Linked DNA regions of Struthio camelus. Each later gene encodes a partner of the first gene's protein in a complex. Links are inferred from orthologs where the notes say so. Each region holds a gene or a part of one and is shown on either strand. Other genes may lie near its edges. The genes, in order: CALCRL, RAMP3, ADM and RAMP1.

What was found.
Region 2: the proteins of CALCRL (region 1) and RAMP3 are in contact, whole or in part, in a cryo-EM structure (PDB 6UVA), measured with the Homo sapiens proteins. The link is inferred for Struthio camelus from reciprocal best matches to the Homo sapiens genes CALCRL and RAMP3. Residues at the interface, in NP_001258680.1 of Homo sapiens: Arg38, Asn39, Met42, Thr43, Gln45, Tyr46, Glu47, Tyr49, Gln50, Met53, Trp69, Asp70, Ser117, Arg119, Thr120, Phe228, Leu231, Ile235, His238, Thr239, Val243, Val245, Lys249, Gln250, His251, Trp254, Tyr255, Phe257, Leu258, Phe262; in NP_005847.1 of Homo sapiens: Trp56, Cys57, Leu59, Phe62, Ile63, Tyr66, Glu67, Thr70, Cys82, Tyr83, Pro85, Asn86, Pro87, Leu88, Gln90, Ile93, Thr94, His97, Arg98, Cys104, Thr105, Val106, Asp107, Arg108, His110, Leu111, Glu112, Asp113, Pro114, Val118.
Region 3: the proteins of CALCRL (region 1) and ADM are in contact, whole or in part, in a cryo-EM structure (PDB 6UUS), measured with the Homo sapiens proteins. The link is inferred for Struthio camelus from reciprocal best matches to the Homo sapiens genes CALCRL and ADM. Residues at the interface, in NP_001258680.1 of Homo sapiens: Val36, Thr37, Asp70, Gly71, Trp72, Asp90, Tyr91, Phe92, Gln93, Asp94, Phe95, Asp96, Pro97, His114, Ser117, Thr120, Trp121, Thr122, Tyr124, Thr125, Asn128, Val135, Ala138, Leu139, Leu141, Phe142, Thr145, Thr191, Leu195, Ala199; in NP_001115.1 of Homo sapiens: Cys110, Arg111, Phe112, Gly113, Thr114, Cys115, Thr116, Val117, Gln118, Lys119, Leu120, Ala121, His122, Gln123, Ile124, Tyr125, Gln126, Phe127, Thr128, Asp129, Lys130, Asp131, Lys132, Asp133, Asn134, Ala136, Pro137, Lys140, Ser142, Pro143.
Region 4: the proteins of CALCRL (region 1) and RAMP1 are in contact, whole or in part, in a cryo-EM structure (PDB 6E3Y), measured with the Homo sapiens proteins. The link is inferred for Struthio camelus from reciprocal best matches to the Homo sapiens genes CALCRL and RAMP1. Residues at the interface, in NP_001258680.1 of Homo sapiens: Asn39, Met42, Thr43, Gln45, Tyr46, Glu47, Tyr49, Gln50, Lys51, Ile52, Met53, Gln54, Thr68, Trp69, Asp70, Gly71, Arg113, Arg119, Thr120, Phe228, Leu231, Ile235, Thr239, Val243, Ala244, Gln250, Trp254, Tyr255, Leu258, Phe262; in NP_005846.1 of Homo sapiens: Trp59, Ile63, Tyr66, Arg67, Ala70, Phe83, Trp84, Pro85, Asp90, Phe93, Leu94, His97, Gly98, Phe101, Arg102, Cys104, Pro105, Ile106, Ser107, Gly108, Arg109, Ala110, Val111, Arg112, Asp113, Pro114, Ile118, Leu119, Phe122, Ile123.

The regions. Positions count from the first base shown.
Region 1 is NC_090947.1:15,873,030-15,880,768, reverse strand, and holds the start of CALCRL (calcitonin gene-related peptide type 1 receptor), read right to left. Parts: upstream 3,002-7,739; 5' UTR 2,659-3,001; intron 1-2,658. UniProt on the Homo sapiens protein: G protein-coupled receptor which specificity is determined by its interaction with receptor-activity-modifying proteins (RAMPs). Together with RAMP1, form the receptor complex for calcitonin-gene-related peptides CALCA/CGRP1 and CALCB/CGRP2.
Region 2 is NC_090943.1:62,832,026-62,838,910, reverse strand, and holds the start of RAMP3 (receptor activity-modifying protein 3), read right to left. Parts: upstream 3,014-6,885; 5' UTR 2,811-3,013; coding exon 2,756-2,810; intron 2,169-2,755; exon of another isoform or gene 2,154-2,168; coding exon of another isoform or gene 2,144-2,153; intron 1-2,143. UniProt on the Homo sapiens protein: Accessory protein that interacts with and modulates the function of G-protein coupled receptors including calcitonin gene-related peptide type 1 receptor (CALCRL), calcitonin receptor (CALCR) and G-protein coupled estrogen receptor 1 (GPER1).
Region 3 is NC_090946.1:23,983,503-23,990,358, forward strand, and holds the start of ADM (pro-adrenomedullin), read left to right. Parts: upstream 1-3,851; 5' UTR 3,852-3,967; intron 3,968-4,546; 5' UTR 4,547-4,559; coding exon 4,560-4,660; intron 4,661-4,943; coding exon 4,944-5,084; intron 5,085-5,582; coding exon 5,583-5,868; 3' UTR 5,869-6,856. Other genes in the region: SBF2 (myotubularin-related protein 13), read right to left, coding at 2,664-2,793. UniProt on the Homo sapiens protein: Adrenomedullin/ADM and proadrenomedullin N-20 terminal peptide/PAMP are peptide hormones that act as potent hypotensive and vasodilatator agents. Numerous actions have been reported most related to the physiologic control of fluid and electrolyte homeostasis.
Region 4 is NC_090947.1:4,641,735-4,648,743, reverse strand, and holds the start of RAMP1 (receptor activity-modifying protein 1), read right to left. Parts: upstream 3,006-7,009; 5' UTR 2,903-3,005; coding exon 2,860-2,902; intron 1-2,859. UniProt on the Homo sapiens protein: Accessory protein that interacts with and modulates the function of G-protein coupled receptors including calcitonin gene-related peptide type 1 receptor (CALCRL) and calcitonin receptor (CALCR). Required for the transport of CALCRL to the plasma membrane.

The DNA.
Region 1 (7,739 bases):
AATTCCAGAGCTCTGCCCATTTGCTATACCAAAGACTGAAAGCATCTCCCACTAACAGAGCAATTTCATGAGCAACTACGAGGCTTTTTTCAGTAAGTGCAAAGTTTAGCCAGAGAAACTACTACATACAAAACCCAATGACATTGCTACACGTGCTTTTAGAGTGGAGGTTCCATATTACCATAATACTAAAGCAGAGCCAGTAACGTGTGTTACTCTATAAAAATGATAGCTAGTCGGAAGCACAGAAGGAATTTTGCTAGAAGATCAAGAACACTGCAAACACATTGGGAACAGATGGGAACAACTTCTTAAAGAGAAATTCTATCTTGCCTTCCTAACTGTAGGCTTTGACTTTTCACTAGAGAATTGCCTTCAATTTCCTTCATAAATAGCTTATGTTAAGCTCAGTAGAAGTGGCTAGATACACATTTTTAAAATATCGCTGCCTATATTTTATTATTAAAAACACATTCATAGCAGTAGTTTCTTCCAAAGGACCTGAGCATTCAAAAATTATAGAAATTAGCACAAAATATCTGCCAGTACATACACAACACCAATGACTGGATGAAGTCTGAAATCAGATTAAATAATTCCCTCAGCATAAAAATATACCCACATTTAGGGATATCCTGCCCTCTGACAGTCAGTGGAAAAATTCCCACTGCCTCTAATTGGGCCAGGATTTCAACAGTTGTCTCGTATCAGGAGAAGTCCTTTCAAAGGGACAAACATTACATTCCTGAACGTAGAGCAAGATTCCTGCTGATCAGGAATTCAGAGTACAGTAAAATTTGAGGCGAACAGAACAGGACTTGCATAATGCAATTCTTGAGCTTGCAACCCATGCTTTATATTTATGTGCATAGCTTTGTACATTTAAAATTGAAGCCAAACAGTTCAACAGTTATCTGGTTATTGTCCATGCTTAATCTGCAAATGATATAGATTCTAGCCTCAGCCCTGCAAACACATGTATGTCTAACACTGCATAGGGGTGCAGTCTCACCACAATCTAAAATAGCTACTTAAGAATAGCATAAAAGAAGCTAAATCATTTAGCATCTTCTGCATTGATCATTTCAACAAAACGAGGACTCTTAAGTGTCCTCTTGTTTGACTTAGTACCACTAAATACCTTTTGTGCTACAGATTTTCAAAGCAAGACAAAGAGCTTGAGATTTCTCCTATATTCAGTGAAGTCAATGAGAATTTAAATAGACCACAAAAGTAATTACGGTGGAAAAACAGATCATTATTTTGAATTGAGCATTCCAGATGATATATCACTGTATGTAGTTTGAAAGCAATCACAGATTCAGACCTACTCTCATTTGTATTTATCCAGACCTAATATGACTCCTTTGAATCTATTTAAAGGACTTGGATTCAGAGCACAACGATCAGTCTTTCGGCACCTCACTGACCTGAGCAGGTTTAAATTGTTAAATACATTATTACTGCAAATGAATGACAACATCCCATAGCATGCACAATATGACTAAAAATAAACTGTATTGGCACTGTTGTAGCAAGCGCAAAACCTGGTCCCAAGGTGTTTAGCATAAGTTTATTAAGAGAGAGAGCAAAAAAATCAGCCATTTCTATTATTAGTTCAATCCCAGCCCCTATAAAATATAGGGATGACTAAATGAATCATTGCAGATCAAATCCAAGTGTTAGCGATAGCCTAAACTGTTTCTCAACTGTCCCTCAGAAATGAGAGTCCTTTTATTGACTCTACAGATCCATTGCTTACTTATACAAATAAGCAAATGGCTAGCCGTAGCAAAGCTAAATTATGACAGTCCCATCAAAATAATGCAACAGAACTTGTAAAAACAGAGGATATTGCATTTACTTTGGAAAGCTGAGGAGAAAACAAGTGACAAAACTCTCTTAACTCTTTATATTGGAAGGCAGGGAATCACACACTTCCCGCTGTCCACATTACAATAGTTTCTCAACAAGATGGGACAGTAGACAATTACCTTTTAGTAAATCAGTTTGCTGTATGTGCGTATGGAAAAATCTCAAACAGAAACACCCCAGCACACAAACAAACTTCAAATTCAAGCTAACTTTTTCCTCAAACAAACAGAAAGTCCAAACAAAACACAAGCTGTATCTTTTAAGTCTTATAATTAGGACATAAAACCTAATTATGAAATAACTCAAATATGATCTCTTTCTAGTATAATAATGGCAACAAGATTAAGAAAATATTCAGTAGGGAAATCTACAACAGTTTATCACCTAATTTGTCCTCTCTTGAATGAACTCCAGTTGTATTGAATTAGTCTTAAGGATCCTTTTCAAACCAATAAGCCTCTAATTCTCTCCAGATGCAAAGACAAAATTTGTTTAACTGTTATTAGGGTTTTAGACCGAATCCTTTAAGTGTTGATTAAGGTATTTTTATCACCCCTTCTGCCCATCTACCATTGATATCTACCTTAAGGATGTATTACAACAACATAAGTTATTTTCCTCATAGCCCTCTCTCCCTGCAGATTACAAATCACATACTGAGTTTAATGTAAAAGCACACACACGCAGCTCTTCCTTCTAGTATATCTAAAAATAGATGCATTCAGATGACACAGAAATATTGTACTTAGATAAAACAATGAAACTGTTTTGATCTGTACTCACCGCACACACTTCTTGTCAAAATGGTTTCAGATAAGTTCTTAGACGATCAGTTTGATTTCCCTTTCAGTGAGGGAGAAGAGAGATGTTTCTTTCCGTTCCCTCACCCTCCCCCCCCCCCCAGCCAAATAAAAGATCTACAGCCTGATCCCCTAGGTATAATCCAGTTACGGGAGCCTGGTGGCTCTAATGGGAGAGGTGACTGCTCTGGGGAGAAGAGCTGCTCTGGGCAGAGTTGGGAGCCTTGTCAGATGGTAAGTGAGCAGCAGCAGCAGCGAAACATCAGAGCTTCCTGTTACATCACAGTAACCCCGCCTGCATCTAGTGTTAAGTTACTTTTCTTTCTCAAAGGGCATATCCTAGGAAAGTGAGGCTCTTCTAATATTTCCAGACAAGAGTAGAGAGCTGCCTGACTGCTGATGGCTACCATGTGCTATCTGACAGCATTGTTCCTGTTGAGAGACAGTTTACTTTCACCTTCTCCGAGCTCAGCTGCGACTTGCCCTCTCAGATAAAAGCTAATGCTCTGAAACAAGTCAGAAAATACTCATTCCATTTGAAAGGAGACCACAGAACTTGTCTTTTCTCACATCACGCCAGTAAGATTCTTTCTCCTCTTCGAATTACATTCCCAGAAGTAAATCAGTTCAGACCTTTATCCAAAGACAAAAAATATGATAGCTGCATTCCTCCTTAATATGAGTGACCTGATCCATCTTTGACAAAAATTGCAGAGACTGCATCGTGTGCCATACTGTAAATGCTGAAGAGTTGTATTTGAAGAATATATTTGAAGAACATATTTCTCCGTATCAAACTGCATTAAGGGTCAGAATCCAATTTTCAAATTCAAGCAAGTGCATAGTTTAAAGCATCACCCTGTTTTTTTTTTTTTTTCCCCTCAAGGAAAAAATGTTGTATTTAAATAAAACAGTCTTTGAAATATCAAGGGTAGAAAAAAGGCAGCAGCATTGTTATTATTGCTAAACTGTAGCATACACTTTTTTAAATGCTAGTGATTTTAGAGCATCTATTATGAGCTGCCTAGTTTGGAAAATGGCATAATTGAAAACAAAGCTGCATTAAAGGAAATCTCTACACTAGCTTCAAAGAATTATACATTAGGACTTAAAAGTCTTTCTTTGCCAGTACTTACATCACTTGCCCTTTGTACATTGGATATCTGTGCTATAGACAGTCAAAATCTGTTCTCCAAATCAATGGACACTTGGAGCGTGCCCATGATAATACCAGGCTAAACAAATGAGAGTTCATGGAGCATTAAGCTCGAGCACTATAAGCACTTCTAACACGAGTAATCCCTTCCTGAGGCTGGAGTTTCATAAGATGTGCTCAGCAACCATGACCACTTAATTTGCTCACAGAACAGGTATTTTGCTTGCTCCTCACTACCCATTGCTCATACACTCCTTTTCATCAGCAGAAATGTTCATTGAACATGTTGTACACTGGAGGATCAGGGAACTGGTCTGTCCATTGAAAATCTTTTCCCTAAAAATGAAAAATAAAACAGCATCAAAACAAAACAAAACAACCCCAAGCCGGGGTAAGGAAGTACTGGAAAGAGAGGAAAGAGGGCCAGGAATACTTTAAATCCATATTGCCACTGGACAATACAAATTGTAAAATCACACTCCAAGCTCACTAAAAGAGCAGGCATGTGACTTTAATACTCATTTAGCATATACTGGGGCTTCTAGGATCTGACATCAACAAGAGAATTGTTTCTGAGTTTTATAATCAGTGAAGAATTAAGAACTGGCACTCTAAATGTAAACAGAAGTAAACTAGGGATTAGATCTGATTTTGAACAATGATGTAAATTAACTTCTCTGAAATAGACTGTGTCACCTCAGGTGGTAAAATTTCACCAGAAGGGAGCCTGGATACATTATTTTAGACCAATTAGGTCTAGGCTATATAGACAGCAACATTGTACATAACACATTGTAACCTAGATAATAACCTATGCGTTCTAGCCAAGCACTCACGTTCAAGATAAGCTCAAAATCTGAATTAGCCTGAAAGATTTATCACCTGGGCAATGTTTGATTTGGCATGCAAAATTCAGTTGGGTTGGTGTTTTTTTCTTTTTTTGGTAAATTAATTTTTTTTATATTCTACTTATTTAGCTGTCATTGGAACTTTCTTACACCTCCTCTTCAGGTATTTGAGGCATCTCAGCTGGTGCAATTTGCACTTCAAAGACCTAGAAAGGCCCCCACACTATTTTAACTCCTCCTCCTTCTAGCTGAAAGGCGTGTAAATCACACCAATACAGACTCCCATGGTAATCAGCAGTGTCGGTGTGAGCAGTTCAAAAGGGATCTAAATGAGCACAGCTGACTGCACTTTAACCAAAGAAAGCTTAAGAAACGTGAAACAAACCCACCGTATTTCCCTCTCTTATCCCGAGTTTTCAGGAATGAGACTAACCGGAACCAGCTATGAGAATTCCCTTCTCTGTTGTTGCGGTTATGACAAGCGCCTCTCCCCTGATTATAAAGGCGCTGTCGGAATGGCCGGTTCTCCCCCAGTTTTCTTTCCGGACAGCCAGCCAGCCAGCACAGCAGCTAGCACTCTCGGCCGTGTCCGCGGCCGCAGACTCCATGCATCCTGACCTTGTTCGCTGGAGAGACGCACAGCTCTTTCTAGCAAGAAGCTTCCATTCCCAGCGAAGGGCTGCAGCCGCTTTTGTTCCGCTGTCCGCCGGCGTGGCCCGGGCGAGGCGGCCGCCAGCGGCACGTCCTGCGCCGCACCGGGCGGCGGCGGCGGCGGCGGCGGCGGCGGCGGGAGCCCCCGCGGCGGCGCCCCCGCGCGGCGGCTCCGCGGGGCTGCGCTGCCACCTGGTGCGCGCCGACCGCGGCGCAGCTGGCGCGCTGTCGGAAAGGGCTCCCACTTTCAGGCCCGCGGCACTCCGAAGAGAAACACGAGATTTGCAGCTTACTATATACCCCGCCTATTCGTAGAATCAGAAATTCAGGGAGCATCTTATTTGTACGCTATTTCCTCTTGGCACAAAATAAGTATGCCTAACTAACACACAGTCGATGAATGAAAAAACCAGTCACATAAAGAAGCATCACGACAACAGAATCCCAGCTCAGCTCGCTATAGGTTTAAAAGAGATTATGGGATCAAAACCAAGGAAACCTCAGAAGCTCTGTGATTGCTAATGTATGTCTATAATTAGAGTGTATATTTATGCACCCTTAATAACTATAAATATATATTCCATTTTGTTCAACTATAAATACATATTTCACTTTATTAAATATGTATTCCAAAACATATCCACTTTATTTTTTTCCACATCCTTTCTCAAAAGAAGATAAAAGAAATAAGTCATAAAGCATATTGTCTCTACATCCTCATTAACACGTTTGAAAGGTAAAATCTACAAGGATGAAGACAATCTCAAAATGTAAATAAATGCATCGGTTTTGAAAAAGCGGATGGATTGGAGTTGCAGGGAGAAATGCTAGCTCACAAGGAAATGGAAGAGAATCAAGGGAGAGAAAATAAAAGTAAAAAGGAGGAAAAGAAGGGCATACCAGGAAAAATGTGAGGAAAAAAAAGTTGAGTAAAAGACATCTTAAGTTGTTTCTCAAAGACATTTTGCTTCATCATCTGCTTGGACTAAGGACACATACCAAGTTAATGCAGGTCAGATGATATATGGAAACTCATCAAATCTCTATAACTTCATTGCTTCAGCTTGTTGGCTCCCATCATATAATGTGGGGCAAATTTCACAGCACTGTGCATATTTCCTTCAAAGCAACCGAGGTGGATTCTAGAATGAGAGGACCGAACGAAAGGACTCCAGTCAATTCCAAGTGCACAGTCACTGGCAGCACACTGCTATAGCTCTATTTTCTGACCTCTTCACTATTCTGCCCTCTTATTCCCTATTTATTCCCCATATATGTTCCATTTATTCCCCCTTATATGTTCACCCTTTAATTCTGAGAGATGCTTAGGTCTTCTTCCTCTTAAGTTTGGTTGTTCTGCTGATACTGTGTTGAAGACCCAGGAATGAAATGAGGCGAATGAATACAAAAGGCATGAAAGGAATGTCTGGATTTGATCAAGATACAACCAGATTACACTGTAGTTTGCATTCTTTTTATGAGAAAAATTAACTTGATACACTGTGGAGCTATATGAAAAACATGGTAGGAAGATAGAGCTGGTATGGTGACCAAACCCACAAGAGTACGCACCAGGAAGGAAGTGCACTCTCAGATTAAACTTCTGATCATAATCAAATCAGTTTTTATTTAGATTCCACAAAAAAATCTAAGCTTTCAGGTCAGAAATATTAGCTTGATACTGGTTCTATTCTAGTTTGGGATGCCCAGGTTTCGTAAGAAACTCTGCCTTTCTTCCTGCATTCATATACTCCATGAGGAATCTGCTCTCTGTGTGTAACAGATTTGGAGAATATAAGGCCACATTTCCAACAGTAAGGAGTGTCTGTTTCCTCATTGGTGAAAGGGATGTATTTGACTGAAGAGCAGTTATAACATTTAGAGACAGTTTTTAAACTTACTAAAACAGACCTCTCAAACCAGATATCAACTCATCGATCAAGACCCACGGCAGGTCCGTATAGTCTGTATACTGACCACAGGATCTATTTCATGAATGAACACTTCACGTTTTAAACTTTTTCTCTAAATACTATTTCTACCTTTTTTCTTTTAACTTTACTTTGTAAGGGATGATTACATGGAAGTACTTCTCACCTTTACAAACAGTATGACAGAGGAACTGATGCTAGCTTCAACTGACAAAAATAAGCACTACCTTTATGGAATCAGTCAGAGACAAAGAAAAAAGGAAGAGGAAAAGCTGGACAATGTCTCCAGGCCTTTTCCTAAACCCTTTCTCTTCTAACTGCCTGTCCTTTATTTCTATGTAGCTTGCCAGATCCATGAAAATCCCTTGTTTGGGACCACACATAACAAACACTATTAGTAAAGGATTAAAGTTTTTTTCCAGTGGAACTGATGCTCTCCTTTGAACAGAAGGGGAACAGATTTCAAACATAAACATGT
Region 2 (6,885 bases), on another chromosome or scaffold:
AGATATTTTATATATATTATATATGTATGTAGAGAGAGAGAGAGAGAGAGAGAAACTCCTCCAGAATTAAAAAAAAAAGTAGCTTTAATCTGGTACAAATAGTACCCCTGAAATGCAGACATTATCTAAAGGATGAAAGAGCAAATGTTTGGAGAAGGAAGTCAAAATAACAACCATTTGTTTAAAACAAAAAAAACAAAAACAAAAAAAAAAACACAAAAAACAACCTGTTCTGTTAAACATCCTGGTCAAGCCCTGAAGTTTCTCCATGCCTGTTTCTATACATAAAAAGAGAATAACCACATCTCAAAGTATTTTGCTAAATACATCATTGTTTCCAAGGTGATTAGATGACAGTAAGTAGATGCCTTCTAAGTATCTAAGGCTCTGCTAAACAAAGTATGAGGATTTCACCTGACAGCTCAAGTTTCCAGCTGTGCATCTCACCACATTTGGGATGTTATCAGCACTTCATAGGGGGAATCAGTACAGATTAACTGTTTGTGTACCAGCTGCCTCAGCTCACAGCTTCCCCGCACACCCACATCACAGCAAATCCCACTTCTGCAGTAATTACTAAGCTTCCAGGGAGCAAACACGCTGCCTGTCTTGCCATCCTGGCAAAAGAGTGATGACACTCAGCAGATGGTTCTGTATAGTGATAATGTTTTTTAAGAGCTTTAGACAGAAAGATATGCAGAAAGCAGTAGTTTGAGTTTAGAGAAGTAAGGTCTCAATCCCTATGCAGACAGAATTCCCACCGAATTCAATGAGAGCTAACACTGAGGCATCATGGCAACATCTTTACCTTAAAGACCGCATTCATGGGTCTCTGGTTAGCAGAAGCCATTAGGAAACGTGGAAGAAAACATGATCAATTCAAGTGAAAATCCTTCAGGAATAACTGACATAAAAGTACATTTATATTACTTGAGAAAGAACGACTTTGGTTTTCTGCCACTTAAAGCATTCCTTATCATGAGGAATTCACATTATAAAACTTTCAGAACTCCTAAATGGCTTTTCTAGCAGGAAATTAGTCTAATTGCATTTTGTTCTTCAGTGCATCTACCCTTTCAAACTTCAGTCAAAAGTAATACATTATCAGCTAACAGATACCATCAAAATCAGTTCTTCTGCAACCTTATGTTAGGAAAGCAACTAGCACAGGCAAAAATTTCTAACACCTGATTTAGTGGTTAGTGTCTCTCTGGTGAAAAACGTTTCCTAGCTTTCTGAGCTACAAGGGACGTTACTCCTCACTGCGCTCATTCTCTGAAAATAAATCTCCGGTAATCAGGTTTGTATTGTAAAAGTCACGACAACACCCTGATGTCTTCCCAGTCAAAAAAAAGACTGCTTGGTTCCCTAAATTTAACACTGAAAAAATAAATCCTTAAGCGTCAAGACAGGTGTTGGCCATTTTTTATTCTTTTTCAGTTAGGAAGCAACAAAAAGCTTGTGTGATCAAGGTAAGATTTTAGCAATCCTTGAGCCACAGAGAATCAGAAAGTTTAAGCATTTGATGTGTCATTCTTTTTACAGATCAAATCAAGACAGTGCTACCAAACCTTGTCAGAAACAACTATCCATTTATTTATAGGTCTTTTCACAGAAAGATGTGCAGTATTTGCCAACTTTGTACTTTGAAAGGGGCATCAAGTTAGCAAACAAAGTTAGAGAGTCCTCAGATAACCCTTTTAAAATGTATGAGGCCTGATTTTCTTCCCTATCTGTGACTCACAAGGAATTAACTCACATTTCTGGGGTTACTGTAGAGTGAGGAAGATCAGAACGGACTTCTCCCAGCAACTTTAAACCTGCCTACAGCACATTACATCTGGGCATCCTAAAGCAAGCTGCCTGACAAGAGAAAAATGAAGTACTTCTAACAGCAGAGTTAATCTTGAATTAAATAAATGAAGGCTCTGAAAGATATCTGCACTTTTACAACCGGCTGTTTGTAACAGAACACATCCTAACTGCAATCAATCCTTCAGCAGAAGCAGAAAACCCTCCTCTTTCCCAAAGATCAAACCTGCCTTCCCAGAATCAGATTTGGGATCTGACAGCTAAATAACAGCAAAAATCGGTCAGATCATCTTTCTTGGGGTGGGGGGAGGAGGGTAAGGTATCAACGCACAGTACAGCATTTCTGGATTTATCTCCTGGCAGTATCCGTCTGCGAGATGTGGGACCAGCGATTAAGCAGCCGCTCGCCTTGCTGATGTCGCGTCTTGCCTGCCCGCCGGCCCTAGCCGCTGTAGCCGGTGCGCAACCCGCTGTGTCACTCCCCACGCGGGGCTTCGGGAGTATTTCCCCAGCGAGGCCGGCGGCTCCAGCCCGCGGGAGAGCCGAGGGGGGCCGAGCGCCCCGCAGCCTCCCCGCCCGGCGCGGCCGGAGCGCGGCTCGGGCGGGCTCCCCCCGCGGGGCAGCCGCCCGCCTCTCCGCCTCCCTCCCGCGCCGCCCGCTCCCCGCGATGGCTATCGCAAGGGACACCCCCCCCCCCCCCCAGCCAAGAGATGATCCGCAGGGCCGGGGGACACACGCACGGCGGGGAGCTCCCGCCTATGCCCAACTTCATGCCCGCCCGCCCCCGGGGACGCGCTCGCACGGCTGAGGATGCTCCGCAGCCCCTCGCTGCCCCCCCCCCCGGCAAGGCAGGCGCAGCGGGGACACCTCGGTGGCCGCCGCTGTCCCGGAGCGCCTCGGCACAGTGGCCGGGACGCCCCCCCGGCAGGCGCCCCCCACTTACCCCACAGCAGCAGGACGGGGAGCTGCCGCCGGCGGCAGCAGCTGGGCGCCTCCATCCCGGCGCGGGCGGCGGCGAGCGGCCGCGGGGGACGGAGCCCGCATGGGGCGGCCGGTCCGCAGCCGCGCAGGGCTCGGGCCCGCCTCAGCCCCCCCACCGGGGAGGCTCCTCTTCATGCCGCGGCGTCCAGCCCCGGGCGGCGGCGGCGGCAGCAGCGGGGGCGGCGCGGAGGGGCGCAGCTCCTCCGCCCCCGGGTGCTCTGAGCGCCGGGGGCGGCCCCGCGGCCGGGCGGGGCCCGCGGGGGCGGGCTGCGGCGGGGCTGCTGGCGGGGGCGTAACGGCCTCGGAGGGAGCTGTGTGCGCCTATGTGTGCATGCATGGTGCGTGCGAACGCGCCCGTGAGTGCGTGCATTTGCGTGCCTGTGTCCATGCATGGGTGCACTCGTGTGCAAGCATGAGTGTGCTTGGGTGCACATGGGTGCATGTCAGTGCCTGCATGTGTGCATGCATGTTGAGAGTGCATGTGTACGTGTGTGTGCACATGTGCATGCATGCTTGGTGCATATGAGCGCACAGGTCAGTGTGCATGCATGTAAGTGCATAGGTGTGTGTGTGTGCATGTGATCACGCACACATGTCAGTATGTATTAGAGCATGCACATGTGAGTGTACACGCATGCGTACAAGTGCTGCCGTGCCTCTGGGCCCTCCAAGAGCCACAGCAAGCCACAGGAATCCCATGGGAGACTTCTTGCCCCCCCACCCCAGGAGTCAGAGTAGCCTCCCCTCTCTTGCTGTGACACGCTGGCAGCACGGACAAAGGCGTGAGTGGCTGGAGGTCACTGGGGACCAACATATTAGCCTCCTTAGTATTTACAGCTGAATATGTGCAGAGAGCTATCCTAACCCTGCACTGATGCCAGCACAGAGGAGCCAGGACCTTGAAGAAAATGCTTAATGTATTTTCCTGTTGCCATTTTGTCTCTGTACAGCTCTATCCAGAGGGGGAGTGGTACAGCTCCTCATTGTCATCAACAGTTAAAGGCTGTGTTCCTGGAGCTCTCTCTCTAGGAAATTAGCATCCCTAGCAAGAACCACCACACTGAGAAGCCACTAATGAAGCCTTTTCTTGGCTAACAATATTTATACTGTTCAATTTTAATAAGGAGCCAGAGCGTGTTTCTAAGTACAGGAACGCTCAACCTCAAGAACTGCGTGTGAGCAGAACATGAAGTTACTGCCATTGTTGAAGGTCGGATGTATCGCAAAACTTGAGACTTCAAAAAATGCTAATGTCCTACACAAGAACAGATGTACATTTCTGCATCAGTTGGGTTGTTCACATTGACTTTAAATACTGCCTGGAAGAGTAACTTTCAAAGTTTTTGGAGAGTTCCAGCTAGTGACCCCAATGCTACAGGATTATGCTACCGGTATCTGAAGGCAAAGTACTCCATACACAGACTAAAAGCAGCCGTCTAATTTATGCTGTTATCTAGGCTGAAGGAAATGGAAAACTTGAGAAACCACAGAGATGATTGTGAATGCAATGTGTTGAAGTGGCTCTACAGACATTCAAGTGCATAAGTTACAATGAACCTCCTTTATTTGCGTGCCGCTTCTTCCTCTTAGCTAAAAGCAAATCTGGTAAAATTCCACGGGCCATAAATAACCAATAGGTCAGGGAGATCCTCCTTCAACTGAGGGGCTGGCACCTCTGCTTTGCAAGGAGTATCTGCAAGCTACTCCTATCAAAAGGACTACAGAACGCAGAGTAGTGACAAGTATGAAGCTCCACACGCTGCAGACTCACTATAGCATCCCTCCTAACAGTGAGATTTCAATTTCCCTTTCAAAATCTGTTACAGTCAATCTCTGACATCACAAATAGTATTTCCAAGAATTTGGACCAGTCTTCAGGAGTGTTAAGACACTCATATACTTCATATACTGCAAATGATGCAGCATACATTATACATATATTTTACAATATACATTATGCAGGATTGGAGATGATGCAGACATTTTTCTTCTAATCTATTTTCAATATCTTCACCTGTTTCAGATTAGAAAAAACTCCATGCAAAACTGGCAGATTTCTAGATTCACAAGTTACTGCTTTCAACTAGCAAGATTCAGCCAGAACTTCCCATTTTATATCTGTGGCAGATATTATGAAGATGCAAGTAAAACCTTCAAGGTAGAACAACAGCTAAAATTTACAGGCAAATGCACTAATTTAGAAATGGTCCAGTTATAATAGAGCACAAGCAAACTATGCTGGCCTGTATCTTCAGCTACATGTATTAAAATGAGTAATTCTGATATGCAGGTATATCTGAACAAAATTGTCATGGGATTAGAACTATCAATAACAGGCAACTTTAGCTGTGTAAAGGCTTTCACTAACACTGTTTCTATCAGTTGCAGTAATGCTAATACATTTACTTCAGAAAGGCTGTGAACCTTTTTATTTTGCAAATCTGCCTCAGCAACTTCACATCTCTATACCAGCAGTGGAAATCTGTTTCGCCTTCAAATAAGAAATCCTACAAATTCTAACTGCTGTATATAACTCTAAATCCCTTCCTTGACAAGAAGCAGTAATAATATTCTCAAAAGTATAGTTTGTTGTAATTCTCAAAAATACAGCCTCCAGAGAAAACAACCCATTTTCAGGTACCCTGCAGAGAATGCTGCCATCACATCACTTCAAGCATTGTTTCAGATACTTATCCTCCTAATAAGCCACTGACTAGAAAAATGACAGCAACAGACAGGTAAGTGGCTGTCGCAGTGTTAAAGTTCTCAGGGAGTTTGAAACAAGAAAAGGGAGGTGGAATCAAGCCAGACAGGACAGGTATCATCATGAGCACCAGATCATTCATAGTTGTGTGAGATAATGTAATGAAATCTCATCTGCAGAGGTTAAACTGATCCTGCAGAAACAACTGTTCAGAAGAAAACTAGGTAAAGATACTACATCATGAAAAGTAACATTGCCCTTCCTTGTAGCATGAAGTGTTGGCCTTACAGAATACCCACTTGTCTGTGCAGATCGATATCTGATCCACTGCGGGCCAGAAGGTTTTCTTCTGTGGTTCCTAGCAAAATAAGTAGTTTTGTATAAAAGATATATTAAGATTTTAAAACCACATCTTAATGGAATTGTTTACTGAAATGAGGTCTGGAAGAGCAGGTGGAGGTTCAGCTCATCTGCCTTTTTTGTTTTTAAACTGAGAATATGTCATCTTGCTTTCAACTGGTTAATCTTTCTTCTCCCATTCAGCGGTCCTACGACCATGTCTTTCCTATTCCAGAAATTTTAAAAAAATACATAAAAAGGACCTGAATTAAAACCATTTCCTCCTCTGTGTTCTGCTTGCATAATTTCACGCAAACATTTTCTCCTGTCTTTTTTCTCCAATGTAGAAAAAATACAAATATATTAAAAATATTATTATTAGTAAATGGCATCTTCCTATGACTGAAAAGACATTTTTCAAAGACCAGACTGTGGTATTGAGTGCACATAAAGCTAAAATGATTTTAAGCACATCAAATTTCACTAGCTGAAATTCTTTATGCCTACATGACCTGAACTAAAGAGGGGGGAAAAAAAGACATTTTTCTATGTAAATACCTTGATTTTCACATAAGAACAGACACTGATTATGGGAGTACACAAATACTTATGGCACTGTTCCAAAACTTTAAGATACATGTGAATTTGGTCTGTGATTTCAGTGGGGTTCTTATTGGTTAGATGCTTAACTATCAGCATCATGTAGGTATTTCAAAATACTGTCATTTTCTGAGATGCTGAGCTACTCAATTATTACTTGGCAGCATTCCCATTGGTATAAAATGTGTACTTTTTTTAAAGGAATTGGAATATTCATATTTTGTTAGCTTTCTTGTATTTTAAAGTGCATTCATGCAAAAAAAAAAAAAAAAGAACATAGCAAGCTACTATTACACGCCATCAAGGCTAATAAAAATGGCTTCAGAAGTGTCAAGACAGACATCAAGGGAAAGCAGAACAGATATTATATGGAAATGAATTTACTTCCAGGATGAAATAAAGAACTAAAGTAGTTCAAGTGAATTTTATTTGCTGTGAAAGAGGATGAC
Region 3 (6,856 bases), on another chromosome or scaffold:
CTATATGGACAGCAAAAGGATTCAGTCATCTGTAACTTACTTCCTTAACTTCCCTTTAGTATTGACTTCTGTTATAGTCTTACAGGACAAATGAGGAAGTGAAGCAGACAGATTGTTTGCTCTCCTAAAGTCTGAGGCAAAGTAAAAAACTTTCATCTAGACCACCAATAACAAAATTCCCTCTGTTCCAACAGAGTAGCCCCAGCTTCTCTTGCATGATGAAGGGGCTCGCAGAGCAGTGGCTTTTGGTGGCCACCAAGGCCTAGGTCTCCAGAAGGAGCCAATAAGCAGCCACAGGTTTACCCTGGCGAAAGAACTGTGGGGCTATAACCCTGCAGGAGAGTGAAAGCATACAAGGGATATTGATGCCGCAGTCAAACTATGTACTTAGCACCAAATAGATGTGAAGGTTTACAGTTCCTTGTACAGTCAACTCCTTCAGGAAATATAAAGGTTACACTCTTCATGCAGTCTCTCAATCCAATGTCACCTGTCAGCTTAGTGACACCCTTTGCCAGAATAGGGAAGGAGCCATGACCCCGAGCAGGTTTTTCCGCACCAATATGCATCTCACTCTGATTTAGGGGACTTTGTTTGGTGTGTTCAGACCTTTCAGATAATAAGACTCACTAAAGCATCTCCAATCAGAGTACCAAAAATGGAATTGTCCCTTGACACTAATTCCTTTGAACATATTGGCACAGATAGAGCTGACTGAGTGCACTAAAAGCAAGGCATTCTTGCATAGAACTTGACTGGGGCTTTACATGCTTCATAAGGTGTGATGCTTCTATTGTATCATCTTTGCACCAATTTCATACAATATGAAATACAATCAAATATATTCTTACTCACTGATATGAATTCACTAAAATTCATAGCAAGCCCAAATGAAACATACAAAAGAGCTTCCACTGGCTTCAAACGATATTCTTGCATAATCAGCACAGAATATTTGCCCCAAGCTAATTCCTCATTGGTGCATATAGGTTTTGGAGTCTTACTTTGGGAATAAAACTTAGCCTGGATAAAATGCTATCCAAACAGCAACTAATCTTCACAATCTCCCTACAAGAGCAGATACATATTGTAAAGTCTTTTGTACATACGAGAACACTGAGAGGTTGAATGACATGCCCAAGATAATCAGTAAACAAGTACAAGAGCCGGATGTTCCTCCAGGCCAACTTCTCCCCAATGGATGAGGCAGCATAGAGAGGAGAGCCTACACTTCAGAGGAGAGTCCAGTCTCTCTGAACTGCATGAACTGCCTCATAATAATACTTCATGAATAACATTTCCAGGGAATGTTCTGTGTCAGTTTTTCAAAATGTAAGTAACTTCACTATTTATGAAATAAGTTTTGAAAAGGCGGCACTTTAATGTCATAGTACAAATTTGGTGATTATTGTTCGTTTTCAAATTATGTAGGAATGCAGATGCTTAGGAAGAACAAAATGAACAGCTGAACTGAGAACATGATGTTTTGTGTTAGATATGAAACGAGCTTTACCCCCTGAAGCCCTTTCACAAATCACGTCAGCAACAAACTGCATTTTGGCTGATAACTCCTGTGCCAAAGTTTGATCCCACATGAGGCAGAACGAGCTAATTTTGTATCACTAAAATGGCAGTTGTAATCAGCATTGAACTCATGTGTGAAATATTATTATTATATTATTATATTATAATTCCTGAAACCACACAGGATTCTTTCTGTATTGTTTGCCCAAGAGTATACAAATTGCACTTCCCTTTTGGCCAAGGATGTTAATGAGGGATTTTCCAGCATGTGGGGAAGTATGTGATTTTATTACTGGAACAAGAGAGATTGTTTAACTCAAAGCAATGCCCATGACACAAAATCCTGCCCTCTCATTCAGAAAAGTTAGGTTCACTTTCAGCTTCTGCTGATCAGGGAAATGCTTGGACTCGCTCGAGCCTGAGCTGCCTCACGAGGTCTCTAAAATACCGTCATTATAATTTGATGCGCTTGTGTAGTCTTGTCATGATATAGTCCCTTACTAGACCACCTGTTTCCCCATTTCTTCCTCACTGAGTGTACACGACAAGCCTCCCTCTCTGTGCACTTCTGCTTCGGAGCACAGGCTGCGGCGGAGCGGCAGCAGGAGCACTGCCGCCGAAGCAGCGCCGCGGGGACGGGGCCGGCGGGACCCGCACCTCTCACCGCTCCCAGAGAGCCCGAGGGCTTGCCCGGCCCCGGCCCGCGGCAGTCCAGCAGGTGTGGCGCAGGAGCGCACGGGGCTTGCCCGGCAGCCAGCTCGCGGCCGAGGAGCAGCCTCACCCCTGGAGACCACGCCAGGGGCGTGCGGGAGAAAGGCTGGATGGCTCAGGGGTGCAGACGTGAGCATCCAAAATGAGTGCTGACCCACCTTCCAGCAGATGCCAAGCTACAGCTGCGCGGCTGATAACGCAGAGGGCGTGTGAGGGACCGAGGGCAGCAGCCGGGAAGGGCATGGGCTCCTGAGCACAGGTAGCTGCCGGAGACAGAAGGGCTCCTGCACGCTGCTGGCAAGGGAGGGAGCACCTCAGACCGAGTCAGCCGCATAGGAAAGTTTCCGTCACCCCCTTGCACATACCTCTGCAGGGTGTAGCATGTACCGCGGTTATCTAGAAAGGTAGAGTCACAAGTAAGTACTCACCTGCTTTTTTAAATACTTTGCTTGGAGCAAGCAGAGTGAAACATCCCGCAGACTCCAGTCCGCTGCTTCGTACGCTCGAGCATCTGTCGCTGGGAAGGGGACCCTGACGCAGCAGGTCTGCCGGGGGCATTTCCTTCGGTTCCGCAGAATGTGCACTGCAACAAATAAGTATAGAAATGGTCCATCTGGTGCTGGCTTCTGCAACCCCTGTGAAGCCAGAGCTCCACATTTCCAAAGCATCATAGAGCAAAGATGTTGAAGACTGTAAAAAAAAAAATATATATATATATATGTAGACAGACCAAGGTTTTACTGCAAATAAATCTGATCCTGCAAATATTTATGCACTGGTTTAGCTTTATTGGCCTGTTAACAAAGGTTAGGCACGTATATAAAGGTTTGTGAATTAGGGGTAAAATGACCCACAACAAGTCTTTCTTGAAGTTCGTAACCCCAAGCATTTTAGATTAACCTGTGCTTGGTCCAAAGCAATAATTCTTCCTTTGTTCAAAGGTATATCTAACCTTCCTGTTCCGATACCATTTAAAATGTGATTTATTTTAAACGATCGAGCAAATCAAGTAAATTTTATTAGATAAAAATGCACCCAGGTTGAGTCATAAATATTAATGATAGCTGATTTGTCACCTCCTTACTTATGTAATGAAGGCTGACTTTCATTGCAGTTACTCATTGTAATTCAAGTTGTCCAAATATGGCTTTATTTTTGAAACTTTGTTATTTGATAGATTTTGAAATTGATTGGGTCTAGTTACTACACCCCTTCTCCAACCCACCTAAAGCTAATGTGCCTAGAAAGAGAAATTATGCTACAGACCGTGTAAACATAATTCTATATCAGCAGGTAAAAAGTCTGTCCTCAGACTGTCCCCAGTTAAACAGTACGAGGGGCTTATCAGATTTTCCAGGTTATGCCATGACTTGGAATCCACACCTAAAAACCATTGTTACAATCAACAGAATACCGAGGGGGTTGTTTAAGTTAATTTTCATTAATCCTCTTATTTTTACCCTACTGTGGGGTGCCCCCAGTCCATGCTAGTATGATTAAGAAGTGGTCGGGACATGGGAGTGGGGGTGTCAGAGAACAGCCAGATGCGCCAAGGTCCACCCACTTCCCCCGCGCTGCTGTATAAAAGGGAGCGGTGGAGCGCAGCTCGGCAGTGGTTACCCCAGGCACACAAAGAAGGAGCTCTCGCTCCTGAGCGAGCCCTCAGGAAACCGTGCAAGTTCGGATCGCTACTACCACAACATTTGTCTCAGTGGATTATCCTCACTGTCAGGTAAGAAACCTTTTTTTTCCCCGCCTAAAGGTGTAGGGGAGGTGGAGAGGTAGTGGAAACCTACTAAATCTGAGCTGTTTTGACGTGCTTGAAGTTATGCTGCTGAGTCTTGCACTGGCTCTTGACATCAGCTGCAGTTTACAACATAAATCCCAAACTAGCTAGTTTGCCATGTGAAGGGGGAAGATGAGCTATTAGAGGATAAGCTTCCAGGCAGCAAAACACTTGCTGGAGTTTGGAGACGATGCTTCTAAAAGGCAGCTCTTTCTAATCTCATCGGTCTGCTAAATCCTATTGCAAGCCACTGGGGGTATTCTGGCAGTCCTGCTGGTTTTCAGCCGCCCCTGCAAGTAAAAGTCTCGACAAATGTAAACTCTGGAGGCTCTGTTATTTACTCTGTGATAAATTGCTGAGAAAATATTAGCCTTTGGTTCATATCACACACAAAGTTTCCAGTAGTTTAGGAGCTATATATCCCGAGGGAAGGAGTTCTCTGGAACCACCAGGAAAAAAAGCACAGACCTTACTTAACTTTTACTAGCAAACATGCTTACAATTCTTCTCTTCTCCCTCCACCAGGAGTTCAGCCAGAATGAAAGTGGTTCACGTAGCCCTGCTCTATCTCGGCTCTGTGACCTTCCTCGGGGTGGATGCTGCTGCAAGGGTGGACGTTGCGACAGAGTTCAAAAGAAAGTGAGTATCGGAGCGCGCCCTCCTGCCAGCGCCCAGCCCCGCTCTTTAGAGCTGCGGAGCCTCCGCGCCTCCGCGCCGGGCTCCGGCCGAGATCAGAGGGAACTGAATGCCCTGCGGGAATAGCACAGCTCCTAAAGGGCCTCGTGCCCTTTCAGGAAACATCCAAAATAAAATAAAAAAAAATCTCGGCGCTGGCAAAGATTTTAGCCCCTCGATTCTCCTCAGCTTGGCTGCTGCCTTGCACGCGCTAACAGGCTGTCCTCTTCCCTTGCGCTCCTTTCAGATGGACGAAATGGGCACTGAGCCGAGCCAAGCGGGACGTGAAGCCTTCGGGCACGCTCCGAGGGCTGGGGCCAGCCGCCGCCGTGCAGCCCCTCATACGGAGCCAGGACGTGAAGGAGGATCCTCCTCTCTCGCATCCCAGGTAATTTCTAGTCCTCTCTGGGCTCGGACACTTGCTGAGGACAACGGAAAGTCTCAGGGTCCCCTTGTTTCCGGGTATTTTGCTCCTTTTCGCTATGGATTTCCCAAGCCCCAGGGACAGGTCTTGCAGGGGCTGCACAACGCGCTGAAAGCAGCCTCCCACATCCCTTTCCCCGCGCACTTCAGCTGGCGGGAGATAGCAGCGCCTTTACTGTGAAAGTCAGATATAAATAGTAACTTGAGCTCTGGATCCATAGATAAAGTAACAGCCATTAAACGGCGGGGCCTCTCCTTCCATAGGCAGCAAGCTCTGCTCCGCGGCCAGATCGCCCCTCTCCCGCCGCTCGGCGGAGGGCAGAGCCGGTGGAGGGGGGTGCACCGACAGGACAGGCCCGCCTCCAGCCTGGGGGCCCCGTGCCCTCCCCGCCCCAACCCCCGCGGTCCCCTCCTCCAGGCCCCACTACGCCTTTCTCATGCCCGCTCTCTTCCTGCCTCGCAGCAGCCGGGAGGATGCTCACATCCGCGTCAAGCGCTACCGCCAGAGCATTAACAGCTTCCCCCACTTCCAAGCCATCCGCACGGGGTGCCGGTTCGGGACGTGCACGGTGCAGAAGCTGGCCCACCAGATCTACCAGCTGACCGACAAGGATAAGGACGGCGCCGCCCCCGTCAGCAAGATCAGCCCCCAGGGCTACGGCCGCAGGCGGCGCTCCCTGCCCGAGCGCCGCCGCCGGCGCCCCCGGACGCGGCCGGCGCAGCCCCTCGCCGCCGTCCTCGGGATCTGAGCGCCGCGGGAGCGCCGCACCACCCGGCTGAGGCCGTCTCGGACGGACCGAGAGACGGATGGAGGGTTCGCCGGCGCTGGGGAGCCGCCGCGAGGAGGCGCGGAGCCGCGTGGGGGGCGAGACCCCCTGGGACCTGGGGGCGGCGGAGCGAGCGGCCCCGCGCGAGGAGGCTGCGAAGGCCGCGTCGCGCACCAGGACGTGCAGGGACCGACCCCGCTCCCCGCCTGCCGCGGCGGTGGGGCGGTCGTTGACTCTTCACCCTCCACCGCGGCGAGGAACCGCCGGCTCCCGCGCCAGCGGGACCAGGGACTGGAAGGCGCCCGGGCCGCTGCCCGCGCCCGGCTCTCCGCCACCCGCCGGCCGCCACGTCGCCCCGCTGCCCGCGCCGCCTCCCGCCCCCTGCACCCGGCGGGGCCGGGACCAGGGCCGGGCCTTCCTCGCCAGCGGGCTACAGCCAGAGCTGCCCCTGCCCCCGTGCCCCGGTAGAGGTGGGTTGCTCGTCTGACCCGAGGAGGGAGCGCTCGGGGGGACGTGGGCGAGCCCCGAGGCGGCGAGTGCGTCCCCGGGCGGCCGCGGCTGCGCGACCCCCGAGCCCGTGGCCGCGGCCTCGCCCGCTGCCCCGGACTGTTTGACAGGCCTCGTTCAGCCTCCGCAAGGAAAGGTCCCCCACACCTGCTCTACCCTCTGCGTTATCTGCACCCGGCAGGGAATCGGACACTCACTAGTCCCTGCGGGGACTGCGACATACTTGAACGTCACAGAGAGGAAAAGTGCAATTGTACATGGTTTTTGTTAATTATAAGTGCGGTGTGTGTGGGTCATGAGATTCGTATCGATATTTAAGATTGTCCCGTGTCATGTCCTATTCGTATCTTTTTTTTTTTTGGAAAAATATATTTTATTTTTATACTTTTTTATATATAAATATATATATATATTGCATAAGGGCATTTTAAGACATTGTATCCCCTCTATTTTTCATATTGTG
Region 4 (7,009 bases), about 11 Mb from region 1:
CCAGGAAGCCCCCAGAACAGCCCTTCCCCAGGCTCGCGGAAATCTCTCCCCGGCCGAATCCCTGCTACCGGGACCGAGGCAGGACCAGCCAGCGGACGCCCTGGATGTAACCACCTCCAAGACGAGAAGGTGCTTCCAAGACTAATACTCTTCACGCAAACAAGCAGATGGCCCGCAAAGAAGCGACCACACGGATAAATCAAATGCAGTAAGGCGGGAAACAGAATAAACGGCCGCAATGCCCCGTGGGCGCGTTCATCAGAGGCTGCAAAGAGGAGCAAGTTGCCTAAACGCTTTCGACATAACGGTTTCCAGACTACAACCTTCCCGCGAGCAGCCTGGGAACAAGCTATTTTCCTTTTTAAGGGTTTTCTCCCCTCGTAAGCGAGCGACGCTCTGCAGCCAGCTCTTGCAGCAGTAGGAGCTCGCTCGGGTCTAGTGATGACTCTCAGTTTGGACCCGTCGCTTTCAAAGCTCTCAGTCCATTCGGCGAGAGCGAACGAGGCGCGCTGCCTCCTGCCTGCCGGCCTCGGCAGGGAACCGCGGCCAAAGAACCGGGAAAAGCCCCATTTTTTAACCTTTACCTGAGACCTCAGGGTGCGGCTACACCTTGGGTCTGCTGACTGAGATTGCAGCTATTTTTGGACAGTTGACATCCTCACCGTCGCGGCTTTTTAAGGACTCGGCAGCCAGCTGCAAAGTCGCTTCAAGCCCGGGCAGCTCAAAAAGGCTTTTTCGGCATAGAAAAGGAGGCTGAGCTGATGCTGCCAGGACGGGCACCCCCGGGGCCAGGGGGTGTCACGGTCCTCGCTGAGCGCGGAGCTGCCTCACCCTCTCGTGGCCCGGAGCGGGGGGGGGGTTGCACGCGGATTTAGGAGGCAACATCTGGCTCGGAGCTAACGGGAGTCTGGCAGCGCCAGCTCACGGGCTCCATCCCCGCAGCCAAAAAGCCCTGCAAAGGCTCCTGCGGGAGACAGGGAGGACGCGTCGAATTGGTGGCGTGGTTTTGGTTTTTTTTTTGCTAATAGTGCAGAATGTGCTCAAAAAAAAAAAAAAAAAAACCCAGTGAAGAGAGGACGCAGGACAAACCAAACGTACCCACCGCTCAGCGCCGCAATTATCTGTCATCTATCACGGCTAAGTGGCTTGCACAGAGGGAGCCTTCCTGCTGCCACAGGCTGCTGGGAAGGCAAGAAAGCCCGAGCCGGCTATTCTCGAACCGCAGCGGCACCGTTTCTCTCCCTTTCGGACCGGGGGGTCGGAGAGTGGAGACCCCTCACTAAAACCAGGATAAGCCAGGAGGGAAGCACAACCAAGAAACAGCCATGCTCCCGCAACGGGGTCAGAGATGCTCACGCACCGCCGGCCCAGCCGGGATTTCCCACTGCGTTTCCGTTTTGCCGGCGAACGAAAGCGGCAGACGGCATGGCAGAGGCTGGGAGAGGGCGCTTGTGCTGTACGGGTTGGTTTTAGTCCGGATTTGGGGTGCTGCAGCATGTTGTTGCTCCGCTGGAGGTTTCCCAGTCCCTCGACCGGCGAGGCCGTCCCAGTTGTGAAAATAACCCCCGGGAATCCCGCTCGCAACTCAAATCCTGCGCTCACAGCTGGGAAAAGCGGCCCACGACGGCACACACAGGATCCCCGCGGCGTTACGGCTCCGGGGACGGCAAATAAACACGAGGGGTCGGTGGGTTTTGTTTTTTTAGGACTGGGCTCTCGCTAAGCATTCCCGACGGGGCTCCTCCTCTTTTTTTTTTTTTTAGCAGGTTACTATAATATTACATTTGATTGTCTCGCGTGAGAAACAAGGGGGCAACCAATGCTTAACCTGCTGGCGGGTAAGAAAGCCTAAGAAGCTGATTTCTAATTTGTTTTTAAAGAAACAAAGGGGAAAGGGACTAGAAAAACACAGCAGAGAAAAATCCGAGATAATCAAGAATTGCTAATCGCAGGCATTAACATGATACTGTTTCCTGCTTCGTCAGGTACACTGAGCGTTTCTCTACCACCGACCACGGAGAATGCGTTTTGTCTGACCGCGCCGTCTTGTATTTCCCTGTGAACAGTCACAGGCTGCAAGATAGTAAATAGTTTATGACGCTGCACGGAGAAGAGCGTTGTATGCGGCGGAGCTCGATACATTATTTACCAGGGTTTGGAGCAGAAAAAGAGCGCGGGAGAACGGACAGGAGGAGAAAGAGAAGAAATCTGAGTTTCCTCAAAGAGTGCTTCAGTTTCCTGCCAGCTCAGTGTCACAGGGATGGTGTGCGGTTTCCCTTTTAAGTCACCTTAAATAAATACGCTTCTTATTCCGAGTGCTACCAACGCAGGGTCCGGGTTTTTTCCCCCCCCAGCACTGAAGAAGGCCGGAGCGCCCTGGGCGCAAACCGTCGCGTAGCGCGAGAATTTCCAACCTGATTTTTGGACCGGCAGCACCTAGCGAGTCCGAAACCTCCGCGAGGGAGACGAGTGGCGAGAACAGTCGCGGCCCTTTCCGCGTGTCCCGTTCAGAAACGGTGGTGGTTGGGGGCGGCGGGGGGGGATCCTGAAACAGCCTCCTGGTAGCTGATCTGAACTTCTGGAAGAAAGGGCAGAGGAAGTCATCCAAAGCGAGCAGGCTTTGGGAAAACCTAAGATCTCAGAAAGGGCGTCGGGCGCAGCGGGGCGCGCCAGGGAGCACCGCTCGCCCGCCCCGGCACGTTTAGGGGCCGCCTTTAGGCTCCTTGCTATTCCCCAGCGCTCGGAGCCGCTGGGACGGTACCTCCCGGCAGGAAAAGGACGCTAACGCACTGACCCGAGGAACAGCCCGGCTGCCTCTAAGCCCCGGGCGGGGGTTTCGGCGGCGGGGCGCGCACTCACCCAGCACGAAGCAGAGGAAGCGCCGAGGTAGGAGAGCCGCCATCCGCGGCGCCGTGGGCCGCCCGCCCGTGGGAAGGGCGCGGGGGCGGCCGCGCCGCTCAGCCGCTCCGCGCAGCCACCTGCCCGGCGGCCGCCGCCGCCTCCCGAGCCCCGCTGCGCGGCCGCCCGCGGGAGCGCCGCCGGGCCCTCCCTCCCTCCCTCCCTCTCCCGAGCGCTTTCCTCCCGTGTTGGGATTTCTGTCCTGTAAACCGTCTCTAACTGGTTTGTCGGAGTGGTGGGTTTGTTTGGTTTTTTTGGCCGGGGGGGGGGGGGAGCCAACCACTCTTTGTGATGACTTCAGCTGAGATTTGTCACGCCCAGCTGAGCTGGAGTTAACTCCATCTTCTCGGAGCAGGCAGGTAGGTGTCCAGAGACGGGGAGCGGGGCAAGGGAACGGAAAATTTCTCAAAGGAAAACCCAAGGAAATCCTTTCTTCCCCACACGTTTTCCTTTGCCCTCCTTCCATTTTTTGCTAAGGTGCTCCCTCTAGCCTAAGGAGAAGAAGCATGCCTTCCCTTTCTTTGTTTACAGACTCTTGGACACTACCTTCTTGTGGTCATGCAACTTCAGAAAGAATATACATACATGTATACGTACACACAGGCACCCACCCACCACATATGTATGTATTACTTGGAGTGCAAAAGCATTGTTGAGCAAGTAGAGCTCCACCTGCAGCTCATCGACTGAACTCTTGCCCAGCCCGAATGTGGAAAGGTGCCTCGCTTGGGCTCTTCAGAAATTTAAGAGCACACACATCCAGACGAACGAGGTCTCCAGCTGTACAGAGGTCAGGCGGAGCAGGAGGTGCTCCTCGCCACCCCACAAACGCCTTCTCTCACCGTTTGAGTTAGCTCTCCCTTTGAAAAGGCTGCATGAACAAGCAACCGCTGCAGCGTGCCAGGCCTCGTTTCAGCGTTTCAACATTAGGCATGCGTCTGCCTTCCCAACAGGAACAAAGCCACAAAGTCAGCTTTACCTACAGCACTAATAACTCCTGTTTAATTACAGAATCAAGTCTGGGGAAGGGAAAGGGCAGCATTGGCTGGCCAAATAACAGGGCAGAGCAAAGCCTAGAGCTGTTTTAATCTTGATGTGAACGGGGAAGAAAACAGACCCGAGGCCTCAACTGCAGCTTCAGGATCCAACTTAAAAACATCAGCTGCGAAACACAGTGCTAGGCTTTGAGCACGTTGTCTGCAATAGTTCTGCTACGAGGAGAGGGAAGAGATGAAATGTGAAAACAGCAAAACATAAGCACAACTTTTTGAAGAAGAAATTTTAACCTTTATTCACAGGCAAGACAGACTCTTTTCAGCAGCAAATGCAGCCTGGATCGAGAACAAAGTATAACAAAGAGAGAGATTTGGACAGCCACAACGTACTGCCTCGCCATGCGATACGGTAACATGGGCCTGGCAGCAGCAAAGATAGTTCTCCTCACCCCCTTACCAGACACATACACCCAAGCTGCCTTTTCTTCATCTGCTAGAAGAGGATTTAAAAGCTATACCCCTTCTGTACACTAACCACACACACAAAAGAATACGCTTGCATCCCCCCCATCCTTCCCCCTCCCCTTGTGTCAACTTATGCAACGCAAACCAAGTTTCCTCTGGGGGATGTCCCACTATACCAGGCTATGTGGCACAACGGAAGGATTTAGGCACCCATCCTCTGTTTACAGCCATGGAAGTGGATTTATAAGACCAAAAAAAAAAAAAATTCCATATTCTGAAAAGAAGTCTAGGGTGGAACATCATCCTGAAGGAAGTATTTGGCCATCAGACTCAGAAGCACGTTACAGAACTGCCAAATGAAAATGGACTCAAGATCACTCTGCTCCTGAATAATTGCTGCTGTTGTAACACTGCAGTTTACGTAACAAAGTCCATGAGTATGGGAAACACTGAGGCCTGGTTTTGTAAAACAAAGCTTCCTCTGACGTCGTCCCTTCCCTGCCTTGTGTTAAAAGGATACGTGAGATTTCTACAAACTATTCAGAATGAGATGATCTGGAAAGAACTTAAACACGTTGGCAATTTATTAAACATGTAGTACTTTGAACCAACTTACCAGCTACCTAAAATGCCTAAAATTAAGAGGTGTATAAGAATTAAGGGGGTTGTCTACTTCAGTGATCACTAAGCATAGAAACGTCCTTCCAGTATTGGAGAAGTCCTGTTTCACTGAAACATTCTCCTTTAATTATATCACTTAGAGAAACCTGTTGTTGAATGCTTGAGCCAACTGTGGAGAACAGGAAAACTGGGAAGAACCACTTAAGATCTTCATACACAAAAAGACACCCCCAAGCGATCTTCAGGTTATTTTGTCTCGCATAAGACCACAAATCATGCGATGATGCTACGTGAATTTTCATTAAGATCCGCTGCAGTAAAACCAGTAAGAAACACAATATGATCCTGGAACAAGCTGGAGTACAGAGTTTGCAAAATCTTCCAAGCGAGATGATCAATTCCTCCTTGTCAGAGAAATCACCTTAAAAACAAACAAACAGAGGAAGCAGGTAAATTTAGCATGAATACACCTGAACTGAGATAAAAGGAACACCAGCAAATTTAGCGTGCTAGAAAAATCAGTAAAAGCTATGATAATTTTGCTACAGAGTTTGGAGGAAGTCTGCATGCAGAAGTTTCCTAGCTTCAAGAACCATGTGAAAGAAGTGATTAAAAAGAAAATAAAATATATAATCTCTGTGTAACAAATCTGGTCGACACTGGTTTAAAAAAAAAAAAAAAAAAAAAAAAAAGGAAGATGTAAACTTTACATTTTAGAAATCCATTCCTAGAAACCAGTTTATAGTATAAAAAACAAACCGAGTTTCGCTACCAGTTTTCTAAAATCCAGACTTGAAAGCAGTGAATACTACCAGTGTGTGCATTTGGGCTGGACAGAATTTCGGTATCACTCAGGAGTGCCAGATGGATACCCTTAAAATAAAACATACTTGCCAAAAGACACTGTACAGATTCCATGCATTTCTTTATGTTGCTCAAGTAATGCATTTTAATCATGATTTGATGGGACAAATCTCAATAAGCAGAAAATGTCTGTTTTTAGATCTTTACTATTAATTTCATGGAAAACTACCAACTGCAGACACTGGCACTGTAAGGGAAACGGCCATTTTTAATACCACTCTGAATAGCTGTCATATCATCGCATTTCTTGTTAACTGTTGACTGCCATTAGGTTTAACAACCTCTCACCTGTTCTAATGAACTTATGGCTTCAAAATTAACAAATATGCAAGATCTATAAACATTTATACATCAACCTCTGGGCTAATTCAGCCAAAGCGGGGCAGGGGGAAAAAAGTGAGTCGGTAGGATGCTTTGAAGCTGAATTTGTTATGCATAAAATGCTGCGTAACACAGCTTGACATAAAAGTAGTATCTATAAAACTGTGTTCCATGTTTCACCACTTTGCAAGAACATAAGGTTTCCAAGTGTTTACCTTTCAAGGAAGTCTGAAGCTATACACAAACCAGAATTTCTATAAAAGAACTTTGACCAGAATCATTTTTTCTTAAACATTTGACTTACACGCTTACAGTTCTTCCATTACTCACTAATGACTTGGCTATTTCACAGCTCCCTCATTATGCAAGTAAAAATTGTTCTAAATGATCTCTCCTTAGCAAAGCCATAGACCAAAAAACACTACTGTCGAAGTAATTCTGACTGCAAAGCACTCATGCTATTTTAAAACCATTTGACAAGCGCAACACACGCGAAAGCTATTAAAATCTTACTAATGGAAAATACTGTGAAGTATAACATAAGTTTTTTTGATGAGTTTACATCCGTATTTGCAATCCTGTAGAAGTAAATCAGCAGATCACTATTAAGACTTTTTTTTTAAACATTGTTTTGATTCGTACGGAGCATCAGCAAAAGCTTACAAGGTAGTCAAGTGCCAAACCAACAAACGTGCATTACATTAGTCACTGCAAAAGGAACTCAGCCAAGCATGCATATTGGTTGGGAGTCTTTCACCCTCACCATCACTACAGCAGGTATAATCTCATGCTGGATTTAAAATCCTATCCAATGTTTCTGTATTCAGCACTTACTCTACATTCAG